Schizosaccharomyces pombe: one gene and its partners. The protein of the gene in region 1 purifies or fractionates together with the protein of each later gene. This does not show direct contact. Each region holds a gene or a part of one and is shown on either strand. Other genes may lie near its edges.

Region 1 (5,012 bases):
TTCAACTAGCTGCGATTCGAGTCCATAATTTTTTGATAAAGCAGACGCATATTCATTTATTTCTGAAAAAGCTTCGGTAGAGTTTGGAGTTGTGGTTACATTTTCTAATTCGTTTTTCACTGTTTCGCATTGTGAGAAGAAATCGTCAATATCATCCAAAAACTATATTAAGTTAGTTAAGCGTAAATTAAAGAGCCAATGTTATGCGTACGTTTTGTTGATGGGACAATTTAATGTACTCATTTCGTAACTGTATTTTTTTACGTTGCACTGATAGTCGATCTTCCCTCAATTTCGAGAGATCCCGTTGAACAGCTAGTTTCTCATTTGCTGCTTTTTTACAAGCTGTTGATAAAATTCGATTAGCGTCCAGCAAGTCTATTAACTCTAGTAAACGAATAGAAACTTGTTCCACAAACGCATTTTTTACCTTGACTACATAGGGTTCTAGTGGCTCATTCTCTTTTATAAATTCTTGAAAAAATTGCTGTACGGCATCAAGCTCATTAAGAGTCTTTGACCCTCCTGCTTCTTTAGAAAGTTTGGTTAACTCGATACGCACGAGCTCATCTGAGGCTCCCACTACAATATCCTTTTCTGTTGATTGATCCAAAAGATTTCTAGGAGCCATTGATGATGTCTGTAAGGAACTTTGCAGACTACTACTTTGATTCGTCAAAGATTCCGGAGAAGAAGTGGAGATAGGAGAAGCAATTCGCTCTTCAGGGGCCTGAGAACTAAATGTTGTTCCTGTCACATTGCCTGGATGTTCCTCTTGGAACGAATCTTGAGATGAGTCGAGAGATGACAGCCTTTGTACTTTGTTAGGTGGTGAATTTTCTAGGATTGAAGAACTATATGCATCAGAGGTTTCTATATTATCACGTTTGTGAAACGGAATGGATTCCCTTTGTATTTTTTTCTGCTTATGAGAAAAAAAATGATTGTCTTTGACTAAAATATTTGCGCTACTCTGCGTCTCACGTGCGACAGCCGATGAAGATACATTTTCGATGCTGGAAACGGAATTTTCCCGAACTACTTCTTCAGAAATCCTTCTTTCAAGTATATTTTCTTGATCGGAAATAGAAAAAATAGATGTACTGTCATCCAAATCGCTAATTTTATGATATGCCTCTGATTGAGATACAATTTCAAGGTTTTGTTGGTTTGAAGCAGGCGAAGAACGAGTTGAACTAGAAGTAGATGACTCTAAATTGGCCAGAAGGTTTTGATCTAATGAAAACTCAACATTTTGAATTTTGTAGCGTCTACATTGGTTAATTTTTACAAAGTTTTGAAATAACATACTCAGCTCCACGCATTCGTGCTGCTCGTCGCTCATCTACGTTATGGGAGTTATTTTCCATAATATTTCATGCAAAATTTTTGCTTTTCTACGCGTATAGTCAAACATGGGGTTTTGGTAGTTGACGAATTCATCCAGCCTTTCTTTCTAGTCATGAATTGATTTTAGCTATTCTTTGTACAGCCCAAATAATAATTTTAACACCATATATTTTAAACTACGTATTCATAAAGCAAACAAATTACACCTATGTAGTTTAATAGTTAAATGTTCGACATATATATAAAACATTCAAATTCAAGTTCGTAACTATTGAAAATTTTCCAAACTCCTATGTGAGAATAAAATAGATAATTTTATTTTTTAACAAACTGATCAAATTTAGTAAATGTCCATTAAGTTTTCTGATTGCATGCCCGTATACATAGAAATTACCAAGTTATACGACAAACGGAACCAAATTTAGTTAATATTTATGTTGGTTCAATAATTATTATTACATTAATCTAAATTTTCGTATTTTTGGACTCAAAAGACTTTAGATAGCTGGTAGCTAGGGAATGAGTTGATGGTCGTCGTGTTTGTAATATTGAAGGCGACTACTTCTAAAAGTTTAACACCACGTATTGCGCGCTTTTTTTGTCCAAATATTATTTCTTTATACAATCCGAAAAGTAACGTTTACTATTCAACATAAATTCGATTGAAACTTTGAATTTATCGTTTGTCATTCCCGTTCACTGCATAATACGAATTAATAAAAGTAAACTATAAAAGAAAGATGGACGATGAAGGTGCTAGGAAAGTTGGTAAGCATTAATTAATTACCTGATTTATTTTAAAGCTGACCGAGACATATAGATGAAAAATGTCCGTTGTGCCAGGCGGACAGATATTTAAATCCAAATATGAAATTACTTATAAACCCTGAGTGCTATCACAAGATGTGTGAGTCTTGTGTAGACGTATGTTTGATTGCATTTGTTAATACAAATAAGAAATGAAGCATGATTTGCTAATTCATAGAGAATATTTACAACTGGACCTGCTCAATGCCCTACTCCTGGGTGCAACAAAATTCTCAGAAAAGCCAAATTTCGAGAGCAAACATTTGAAGATGCTCAAATTGAGCGCGAAGTCGATGTTCGGAAGCGGATATCTCGAATGTACGAACACTGTAGCTTTTTTTTTAATTTACTCTAACGTGCGTTTTTAGCTTTAACAAAGGACAGCAAGAATTTGACAGCTTGCAGGCTTACAATGACTACTTGGAAGAAGTTGAAATTTTAAGTATGTTATTGACAGCGTCAGAATTTTATTAACAATTTTTTTTAGCATTTAATTTGATTTATAAAATCGACGTTGAAGAAACTGAGGAAAAAGTTAAACAATATGAAAAACAAAATCGAGATTCTATAGCAGCAAATTCTGCAAGAGCCGCCGCAGAAGCACGCATTTTGGCTCAAAACGAGATTCTTCTCAAACGCCAAAAGCAAGAAGCAAGAGAAGCGGCTATACGTGAGCATCAAAAAGAAAAGGAAAGACGTGAACAGGTTGAGCAACAAATTATTTTTGATTTAGCTACATCAGGAAAAGATCCTAACAAAATTATCCAACTATCTGATTCCCTTAAAAAGCAACAAGAAAACATTGCCTCTTCGGTTTCAAACATTTCACGTTCATCTTCAATTCTTCTATCTGATGTTCAGCAAGTAGCAGAGGATACTACGCCTTTTAGTCCTCTTGCTGGAGAAAAAGATGGGAGCAAGTATTTTTCATACTCCAAAAACACCTATCAAGATTTGTAAGTGTCAATTTTGTAGCATCACCCATAAATATCATACTAACAACTCGATTAGATATTTGGAAAAAGTTTCGCATGAACCAGGCCGCAAATGCGGTTTCCGTATAGAAGATTGTCATTTGCGATGCTTATATGAGGCTTTTAGTGGCATTGATTACGATTTAGAAAGTCTCAAAAAACTTGAAGTAGCAAGTTAGTCTTGCTTTAATGCTCTCACCATGCAGTTACATTTCATTTTTAAGTAAACGACTATTCCATTTTCATACTAATATATTTATATACGTTTGTGGTAAGTATACTTTATTCTTTGTATTAGTAAATCATAGCCTTTGTATATTACCATTATCCCTAAAATATACAAACTAAAACAAATCCTTGTGATGCTCCCAAAAAGATTAAAACCTATAATATTAATACGGTTTGAATTGCCGCTTTTCTTTTAATTGTTGGATACGCTGTTTATCGAACTCAAACTTATGAGCTAAATCCAAAAGAGCCTTCTTTTTCTTTTCCCGAAGCTGGAAACGGTAAAAATCTTTGTGGATCCCAGTGTCTTTTTTCTTTTCCAATTGACGCTCAGCATCCTGAGGTCGCCCGACAGGTGCCCGGCCGCTGCGAACGACCGTTACGAATCCATCTTCATCAGGTTGATTTTTCATAGCGAATAGTCTCCTCTTTTCTGCTATTTCCTTTTTAGTAACACGTTTCATGTATGAATCAACACTTTCGGCTAGAACACGTGGATTGACAAACTGTCTATCATAACTTTCTACATAACCTATTAAACACATTAGTATTTCCAAAAAAATAATGACCATGTTCTTACGTTTCAAACCAGTATGCTGTGTGAACTTCCAAGGAAGCGAGGTCGTCTTTTTAGAAGCTGCCTTGATAACTTGTTTAACTTCAGCGGGCTCGACTAATTTGACGCGTAAATGGGTGCCACTTTTCAAAAGGCCACTAATATTAGGATAGATATTAACGATACGACCGCCCAATTGAGAAATTGCTCTTTTCAAAATCTTTTCAGTAGTTGTGATAGGAACATTAATCAAATACAGTGACTTCTTTTCAACATCTTCCGTGTCTTCTTTCAAAAATATACTATGCAACCTCTTTTTATTTTCCAAATAAATTTCTAGTTTAACAAACCCTTTTTCTTTGAGCTTGTCCATTTATATGAGTTGTTTGGTTCTTGGGTAAAATGCAATTTGTTACTGAGCTTGACCGAGGGCAAGACCATAGGAGCTGTATACTCTTATACCTTCGCATACTTCATCTCGTTGTGACTATAATTATTATTATATACAATATACATTAAGAATGTTAGAATAAGCGAAAATTAAACTAAGATTTGCTTATTTTCTAGGATTAAAAAAAAAATGTAATTATACAACTTGTAATTTATTTGCTGCTAAATAAAAGCTCCAAAAAGCAATGTAATAATTGAATTGGGAGCTAGAGGTGTTGGATTGTAAATTAATAAAAAAATACAGCTATATTGATATGCGTGGTTGCTAATTGCATTTAGTGTTCCTAACCAAGATAAACGTTTTTAAAAAAGATCCTTATAGCCTACTCATACAAAGTATAGTGCTCGGTATAGTCATTTAAAAGGATTATTGATATTTGAATAAATTACTGCACACGCTTAAGGTAACTTTTTGCATTATAAAATGGTCATTCAAAATTTTTCGTAATAACAAAGAAACGTTATTGTATACTTCTTGTTCGATTGGACTCACTACCTTCTACGACTTCCCTTATGCAAAATCAGTTTTCCAAAAGTTTGAAGTCTTTTAAGTTCTGAGTTTGGGTTAATTGTAGGGGTTTTGCGTCTTATTGGAGTCACAGGAAGCTCTATAGGGCTAAGTTTTCTCAACGGTGAGGATGAGTCTG
Region 2 (3,960 bases), 1.3 Mb from region 1:
ATACCAATATGCTTGTTTTTCATTTATTACATACATACTAAGTATAAATAATAGGATACCTGCTAAGCTTGTTTTTTCTAGAGACTCTGGCGGTGTTTGGACAACAGAAGCGCTGCCATCTATGGTTTCTTCTACTCCAGTTTACCATAATGGAGAAATTGTTCCTTTTCGCTTTACCCCCAACATTAAAGAATTTATTGGAAAAACTTGTACTGAAGGTTTACTGGGCCCTTCAATAATGGCTATAGCTCGCGCGCTCTCCAAACCGGATTTCGATTTGGATATGTACTTGGGTATCTTTATTAGAGATGATCTTTTTTGGTGGCTTGCACAGCAAACTAAAGGCGTGCCGGCAGATTTCAGTATGCTCAACAAAGTCAATAGCAATACTGATCTTATAATGCGAAGGGTTGCATCATTAAGTCAGGTTGCTTATGGTAACTTACCAGTCAATCAAACAGCTATTGATTATTTGGCGCAAGCCTCTAGTTCCAAAGTTTTGGCACAGATGGACGTCTTATGGGCTCCTTGGCTGTGAGAGAAATGAAAATGTTTTTAATTTTACAAATAGACATTAAAAATAATTAATGAGACACACTTGATAGTGAATTTTACTGGGAATTTTTTATAAACGTAAACTATTTTGTCGTAAAAAAAATTGACGAATAATGACTATTGAAGTAAATTTAGCACTTTTCAAAGAAAGAATCATTCAAACGGATTTTTATCCAACACATTACTGCTGGTTGAGAACTTTTTAGCCCATTTGTTGTTATTAGTTGATTCTTCTTCCGCTTTTCGTTTAAGGTACAAAGCACTAGACTTGTTTCGCAGAGGATTCATGCAGAAATATAGCTTTCTGCCGTAATCTTGTGCCTTTTTTTTCTCAATCTTAAATTTTTTTGTAGCTTTCAAATTGGCAGAAATCGAAATTATCAAAGGTTGCAGTTCTGGAATTTTTTTTGCTTCTATATATTGTAAACAAATAGTTGGATTCGTATGATAAATAGCACCCAAAGCAATTATGCTGGGTGAATGTAAGAAATAGATGTCAGAATGCAATGTCTCAATTAGGAATTTTTTGGAAAGGTCATGACATTCGTAAAACTTTTCGACAGCAACTTTCGGAAGCACTGTTTGACAATCTAAAAGGAAGCCTTGTAAAGGACGAAATGGAAGCCAGACGTAAAGGTCCCATTTTAATGATTGACAAACGTTAAATTCGTATTCAAGAACTTCTTCGGGAGTCGTCTTGGGCATGTTTTTACAGAATTGTTCAATAGAGATATAATGATCGTTGCACTTGGTAGCTAAAAATAAAGAAGTAAACCTAATGTAAGAAAAACAATGTTAGCTTAATGGACTCGGCGACTTAAACATACGAAATAATTTTTGGACTATACTCCATGACAGAGTTAATTAGATAAAAGCGTTTAAAAAAAAGAATGGCCGTGGACTAAAATTTTGTGAGTAAAGTCGGAATGTTTATATTGAGTACAGTTTCCAAGTAATTGAAGGAAATCCGACCATGTCTAAACATACGCGAATATGAGTTGGTAAGGAAAGAGCGGAAGAAAGTGCGTTCAACTGGAAACTATAATAATTTACAAGTTCAAGTTCTTCTTCAACGGTAAGAGTTGGAGGCAAAACTTCTAAGGATGCTTCCTTGTTTTGTAAAGACAACTCTTCCAGCATTCGCTCACGTACAATATTCGTAAATTTTTCATTTACTTTAGCACGTGTTTTTGAAAGGTCTTCTTCCGTAAAAATCCAATCTCTGTAATGCGTGGAATCACGAAATTTATCGGCAGACATGTGAATAATGTAAGTAGAATTTACAGCACTCTATCAATTGAGGGTTATGCAAAAATTTAAATACTTCTCTATAAAGCCAGTAAAATAATAATATTTTTGAAATTTGGATACTTCTCTGCTATGAAAAACCCAAATCGCTCGTTCGCTGAGACTTTGTCGAGGACATCAGATACCCTGGATGTGGAGAAGAGAGTTTTTGCAATTAATGTGCGATGTGCAAAAAGAAAGCAGCACTATAAAGTTATATTAATTTAATGAAGAGTTTATTACATAAACTAAAATTTACTAATAAATAAAATATTGTTGAGTTGAAAAAAGTCTTGCATTCATGTTTCAATCAATTTGTATCAGCATAACATTTCACTGAAACGAAGCTGAAAAAAACAATAGTTATATAGGATTATGCTTTTTTATATTCCATTGAGGCATATCATTTAAAGCCAAAAAATTACCTGACAACGTTCAGTTACATATTTGAGTGAATTGCAAATGAACAAGAATTGGTAGTTAAATAAGGAAATGAAACAACATATTATTAATTAAATTTAATTGGAAGTCAATCTTTGAAATGAAACACGCTTTCTGTGCAAAAAACAGAAGTAATATTATAATCATACACAGGCAGCGGCGTATTAAGATTGTAGGCACCTTGGCACGAGATCGAGCATTCATACCCTTTAGTAGAATAAACACAAACATTAATTTCATGGACAATGTAGTCTCGCGGCAATTTCGTCTTAAAAATAATAATTGGAAATTATAAATAAATCCGAAAATTTCTCATCTCCTCACTCTTTCCCCAGTTCTCTTAATCTATTTTCGTAATATGATGAACATGTAGTAAATATTGCTATATAAACTATATAAACAATACAACGTAAACCTGGTAAAATGTACAGGAGACCGAGATATTAAATAGTGTCTGTAGCAAAGTTGCAACCAAACTGAGGTCGGAATTGAGTTCTAAAAAGCTGAAAAGGAAAATATAAATATAAAATGAGCCAGAATATGCTCCGAGATTTAGAAAGAATCTATTATAAGTTTCTGTTTGTTCAAAGATTCTTCGCAAATAAATATCCACAAGTAAGTATCATCCTTTTTTAAGTCAATAAGGATTTAGGTTATCTCTAATTAAATCTTTTCTCTACTGTCATAAAAAAATGGATAAAAACTTATGTATATATTAAACATCGCCTAAATACGTAAAAGAGGATAGTGATGTCGATATTATTCGATAGATTCTGATACGGGGATCTAATATTCTTACAGTATTTGCTTAAGTCTCGAAGTAGGTTCACAGCGATTTCGAAACATACCCACACCACCGTATTCAAATAGACATTGTTTTTTTTTAGTGGAATTCTTGTAAGTGTACTTTATTGATTTGCTCACTAATAAGTAGAATTTTTTTTTGATTCGTCGCCGATATCGATTTATTTTTTCAATACATTCCTATTCCTCGTATCCAGCTTAAAGTGTTTTCTAATTATTAGATCAAAATGGCTGAACTCCACCTTTCTTTTCCAGCTTATTCTCTTTGTTGGATTAATAACCATCAAATGGCGGTTGGTGGTGGAGGAGGAACTACAAAATCTGGTGTTAAAAACAAATTGGTATGTCAATTCGTGACTGTAAGTGAAGGATTACTTCATTATCTATCTATTTTACAGCATTATAAACTTTTTAGTATCCGGATTGTTAGCTAAAAAGATTATGTTTTACAATTGGACTATAGGCGCTAATTAGTTTGTCGAATTTAGAAGTTATTATCATATGAAGACTATGAACCTGAAGTTGGTGAAGGTCATACAAAATTTATAGAACATGGAGAAATCGAACTTAAGCATTCGGATGATGCCGTTATGTCGTTGGGTTATTTTAAAAATGTATGCAATATTTTTTTATTGCATAGCTAACGAAATTAAATTGTAGGAATTAATAGCCGGTATTAATAACACCATTGACGGAAAGTTAATTGACCATTTACGTTTATATGGAAGAAAGGATAAACTATTTGAGGAAAAGAACGCTCTCAGGTTAACCGATTTTGACAATGATGAACAATATCAAAGGTTATGTTTATTTGAGCCATTACACGATGCAATTTGTATATCTTGCACTAATAAAAGTTTTTTTATCATCTCC
Region 3 (4,124 bases), on another chromosome or scaffold:
AAACTAACAAATGCCTCTACCGAGGAAGTCATGTTGCCTTTGGACATGGTTGTAAATGAATTATTGGAGAAAAGCCCGAAAGTATTCCCAGAGGACTCTAGACTACTATTTGCTGAGCAATCGCGACACCCCAAGTACACCGATATTATTCAAAAATTAAAGAAACCGTCTCGCGAAAAGTCTTTTACTTCTTCTTCAGAATATTCACTTCCATTTATATCACCGGCTTCGGATTACCAACAAAATCCTTTACTTCATGCTACCAAGTCGCTCGTTTCTATTCACCAGCAATCACAACGTGGAGAAATGGTTAGCACATTGAAACAGGCTCTATCAAGGCCACACACTGCTAGTACTGTCGTACGTTCTCCGTCGGAAATAAATCTTACAAGACAAACGAGCAACCGTGTACCTCTGCTTGATATGTTGAATCTTAATCGTGCTATGTCTCCGACACCTATTCAAAGTCCTCCATATGTACGCACTTAGTTCTACATATACATATTTTGCACTTAAAAAATGAAAAAAAGAATTATCGTTGCAAATCTATATTTAACCATGCAATTTAAATTTCAATTCCTAAGTTATAAGTAAATTTAATTACTGAGTAGTATACCAAATTATATTAATCAACAATATAACATTCACTAGCCTATCCTGATTACAACAACTCAAGATCTACTTAAATCCGAAGTAAAAAATGTTTACTTCTTGGCGCCAGCCTTAACAGCGGCCTTAGTGACCTTAGCGGCACCAGGGGCAACCTTCTCAACGGCCTTGATGACACCGACAGCGACGGTTTGACGCATGTCACGGACAGCGAAACGACCAAGAGGAGCGTAGTCAGTGAAAGCTTCAACACACATAGGCTTGGAAGGAACCATCTTAGCAATGCAAGCATCACCAGACTTGACAAACTTGGGGGACTCCTCAATCTTCTTACCGGAACGACGGTCAATCTTCTCAATGAGCTCAGCGAACTTGCAAGCAATGTGAGCAGTGTGGCAATCCAAAACAGGAGAGTAACCAGCAGAGATTTGACCGGGGTGGTTAAGAATGATGACTTGAGCGGTGAAGCTAGCACAACCCATGGGAGGATCGTTCTTGGAGTCACCACAGACGTTACCACGGCGAATATCCTTGACGGAAACGTTCTTAACGTTGAAACCAACGTTGTCACCGGGAAGACCAGCGTCGAGAGACTCGTGGTGCATCTCAACAGACTTGACTTCGGTAGTGACACCAGCGGGAGCGAAGGTGACAATCATACCGGGCTTGATAACACCAGTCTCAACACGACCGACGGGAACTGTACCAATACCACCGATCTTGTAAACATCTTGAAGGGGGAGACGAAGAGGCTTGTCAGTGGGACGTGCAGGGGGCTCAATGGAGTCAATAGCCTCCAAAAGAGTCTTACCCTTGACGACACCAGCCTTGGTCTCCTTTTGCCAGCCTTGGTACCAGGGCATGTTGGTGGTGGGCTCAATCATGTTATCACCTTGGAAACCGGAGACAGGGACGAAAGGAACGGTCTTGGGGTTGAAACCGACCTTCTTGATGAAGTTGGAGGTCTCCTTAACGATTTCCTCGAAACGAGCTTGGGACCAGCCAGTGGTGTCCATCTTGTTGACGGCAACAATAAGTTGCTTGACACCCAAGGTGTAAGCAAGCAAAGCGTGCTCACGGGTTTGACCATCCTTGGAGATACCAGCCTCGAACTCACCAGTACCACCACCAATAATAAGGACAGCACAGTCAGCTTGAGAAGTACCGGTAATCATGTTCTTGATGAAATCACGGTGACCGGGGGCATCAATGACAGTAACATTGTACTTGGGAGTCTCGAACTTCCAAAGGGCAATGTCGATAGTGATACCACGTTCACGCTCGGCCTTGAGCTTGTCCAAAACCCAGGCGTACTTGAAGGAACCCTTACCCAACTCGGTGGCTTCCTTCTCGAATTTTTCAATGGTACGCTTGTCAATACCACCGCACTTGTAAATCAGGTGACCAGTGGTGGTAGACTTACCAGAATCGACGTGACCGATAACAACGACGTTAATATGTCCCTTTTCCTTGCCCATTTTTTACAATTAAATTTTTTGGCGTGTGGTGAATGACAAAGGCGAAGCATCCTTCTAGTACTACTAAGTGATTTGTGACTGCTCTCCACAAGAAAATATGTGACTACTTTTAGATGAAATCTGGTTACCGAGCTGCAGAAGACTACGGCAAATAGCTGTTAAAGTAGTTTATTGGTATGAATCTTATAGTTTATGTGGAAAAGGTGAGAAAAGCCTATGTATATTTAAAAGGACGTAAAGTCATATGTAAATAATTATTGAAGACTCTAAGGAGTTTATTCCATCATAAGCAAAGCGAGTTATAAAAAACTAAATACTATCCTATAACAACTGCATAGCAGTGTGACAAAATGTGATTAGCAATCGTTAAGCTAATATAAGAAAGTCTGCATTTTAATAATGAACTACGTCGGCCTGTGTTAAATAAATATAGCGCAATAGAACGTAGATTCATTTTTATTAACTATAAACAATAGACCTAAAAGAATGTTGAACAATAGGTAATTACAAGTGAAACACATAGAAAGGGCTTACTCGAAACAATTAATGAAGTAATAAATGACCACAATAATTCAAATCCTCTGTTAGTGTTTTTTAGAAATAGCTGATTTTCTTTATAACTCTATGTGATAGACATTTCACTATACTTGAATTGATTACCTAGCTAGTCATTGAACTAGCTATACTGAAATTTAGGCGAACAAACAGCTTTTTATCAAATTTTCAATTGCGAACGTTTTAATCTGATAATAAAAATGCATGTCAAAAAGTTGTGCAGTATGAGGAATTTTTTTGACTCTGATGGTTGTCGATAATTCCAGCAGAATCATTTAAGCAAAGTCTACTTCTTATAACAATAGAAGTATTGATATGCAAACATAGCATTGTAATCATAAGCTCTATATCTTCTAGTAACTTAAACGTTGCGAGTAATTTCTTAAGTACCATAGTTTGGACTTGTTTATTTCAGCCCAAGCAAACGATTTTCTGTTTATCTGCTTTGTTTTGAATTTAAGTTGAATAAGTTGCATCTTTACCAATCTACTTAATAAAACAAAAGACGTAAAACATAGATATAAAGTGTCTCAGTTTGTTATTTAAGGTATATTGCCCTTATTTCGAAACCATACAGAATGATTTGTCACTGTATGCAAATTAATACAGAGAAGTTTTATTAAATTCACTTATAGAATAAAAAACAAATTGTATCTAATAGTTTTGAGTCTTTTTGTCGAGAACTGACTGTAATAAGACTTAGTGATAGATATACACAATAAAAGAAACTTGGACATTTTTGACACAAAATAACTTGTCGTAATTATCTTTCTAATCCATAGCAGAAAAGAATCCGCCAGTATCTGAACAAGGAGGATATCAAGTGAAAAAGATCACGTTGGAACATCGGAGTGTATATCGTTAAAACTAGTGGTTCATTTCATCCTACCACTCTCACCCCAAAAAGTGGGAGAATCGACAAAACTCCAAAATGTTGCATCGTCGAATTCATTTTAAATCACAGTCCACTTTGGACTTTGACAGTGTTGCAGTTAGCATATCTGCCAGTACGATGAAAAACGAATTAGATAAACTTGTACTGAATTCCAGAGTTTCGGATAAAAAAACGTTTGGCATACAAATGGACAACTTCTTTGCTTTGTATAGAAGATATTTATTACACACAGTTAAAGGTTATGAATGTGATTGGGATTCTATCCGGCCTCTGGGACCCGAAGACATGATAGATTACGGTGATTTACCGTTATGCAAAAATGCTGGAAAGTACTTAAATCGGCTTGCAGTTGTTAAATTAAATGGAGGTATGGGAAATGCGTTGGGTGTGAATTATCCTAAAGCCATGATTGAGGTTCGTGACAATCAAAGTTTCCTCGACCTTAGCATTCGCCAAATCGAATATCTTAACAGACGGTACGATGTGTCCGTGCCTTTCATTTTAATGAACTCTTACGATACAAATGATGAAACCTGTAAAGTTCTTCGAAAATATGCAGGCTGCAAGATTGATATTTCTACTTTCGA

The links. The genes of interacting proteins can lie anywhere in the genome.
Region 2: the proteins of pmh1 (region 1) and mcs2 purify together in Schizosaccharomyces pombe (affinity purification with mass spectrometry, with the first as the bait; one study listed by BioGRID). This does not show direct contact.
Region 3: the proteins of pmh1 (region 1) and tef101 purify together in Schizosaccharomyces pombe (affinity purification with mass spectrometry, with the first as the bait; one study listed by BioGRID). This does not show direct contact.

What each region holds. Positions count from the first base shown.
Region 1 is NC_003423.3:3,210,629-3,215,640, reverse strand, and holds pmh1 (transcription factor TFIIK complex ubiquitin-protein ligase E3 subunit, Pmh1), read left to right. Parts: upstream 1-1,924; 5' UTR 1,925-2,090; coding exon 2,091-2,118; exon of another isoform or gene 2,119-2,170; coding exon 2,171-2,274; exon of another isoform or gene 2,275-2,335; coding exon 2,336-2,475; exon of another isoform or gene 2,476-2,486; intron 2,487-2,525; coding exon 2,526-2,599; intron 2,600-2,644; coding exon 2,645-3,113; exon of another isoform or gene 3,114-3,168; coding exon 3,169-3,310; 3' UTR 3,311-3,523; coding exon of another isoform or gene 3,524-3,891; 3' UTR 3,892-3,939; coding exon of another isoform or gene 3,940-4,288; 3' UTR 4,289-4,450; downstream 4,451-5,012. Other genes in the region: kinetochore protein Mis17 , read right to left, coding at 1-162, 212-1,271, 1,312-1,370; rRNA processing protein Rrp7, read right to left, coding at 3,524-3,891, 3,940-4,288; protein Mis20, read right to left, coding at 4,858-5,012. UniProt on the Schizosaccharomyces pombe protein: Acts as a component of the general transcription and DNA repair factor IIH (TFIIH or factor B), which is essential for both basal and activated transcription, and is involved in nucleotide excision repair (NER) of damaged DNA.
Region 2 is NC_003423.3:1,891,011-1,894,970, reverse strand, and holds mcs2 (transcription factor TFIIH complex cyclin Mcs2), read right to left. Parts: upstream 1,992-3,960; 5' UTR 1,816-1,991; coding exon 1,543-1,815; exon of another isoform or gene 1,457-1,542; coding exon 1,383-1,456; exon of another isoform or gene 1,331-1,382; coding exon 709-1,330; 3' UTR 563-708; downstream 1-562. Other genes in the region: SAGA complex, phosphatidylinositol pseudokinase subunit Tra1, read left to right, coding at 1-538; GDP/GTP exchange factor Spo14, read left to right, coding at 3,315-3,428, 3,576-3,701, 3,748-3,960. UniProt on the Schizosaccharomyces pombe protein: Essential for progression through the cell cycle. Possesses kinase activity that can be detected when myelin basic protein (MBP) is provided as an exogenous substrate.
Region 3 is NC_003421.2:267,393-271,516, forward strand, and holds tef101 (translation elongation factor EF-1 alpha Ef1a-a), read right to left. Parts: upstream 2,125-4,124; 5' UTR 2,088-2,124; coding exon 705-2,087; 3' UTR 563-704; downstream 1-562. Other genes in the region: protein efr3, read left to right, coding at 1-489; ugp1 (UTP-glucose-1-phosphate uridylyltransferase), read left to right, coding at 3,574-4,124. UniProt on the Schizosaccharomyces pombe protein: This protein promotes the GTP-dependent binding of aminoacyl-tRNA to the A-site of ribosomes during protein biosynthesis.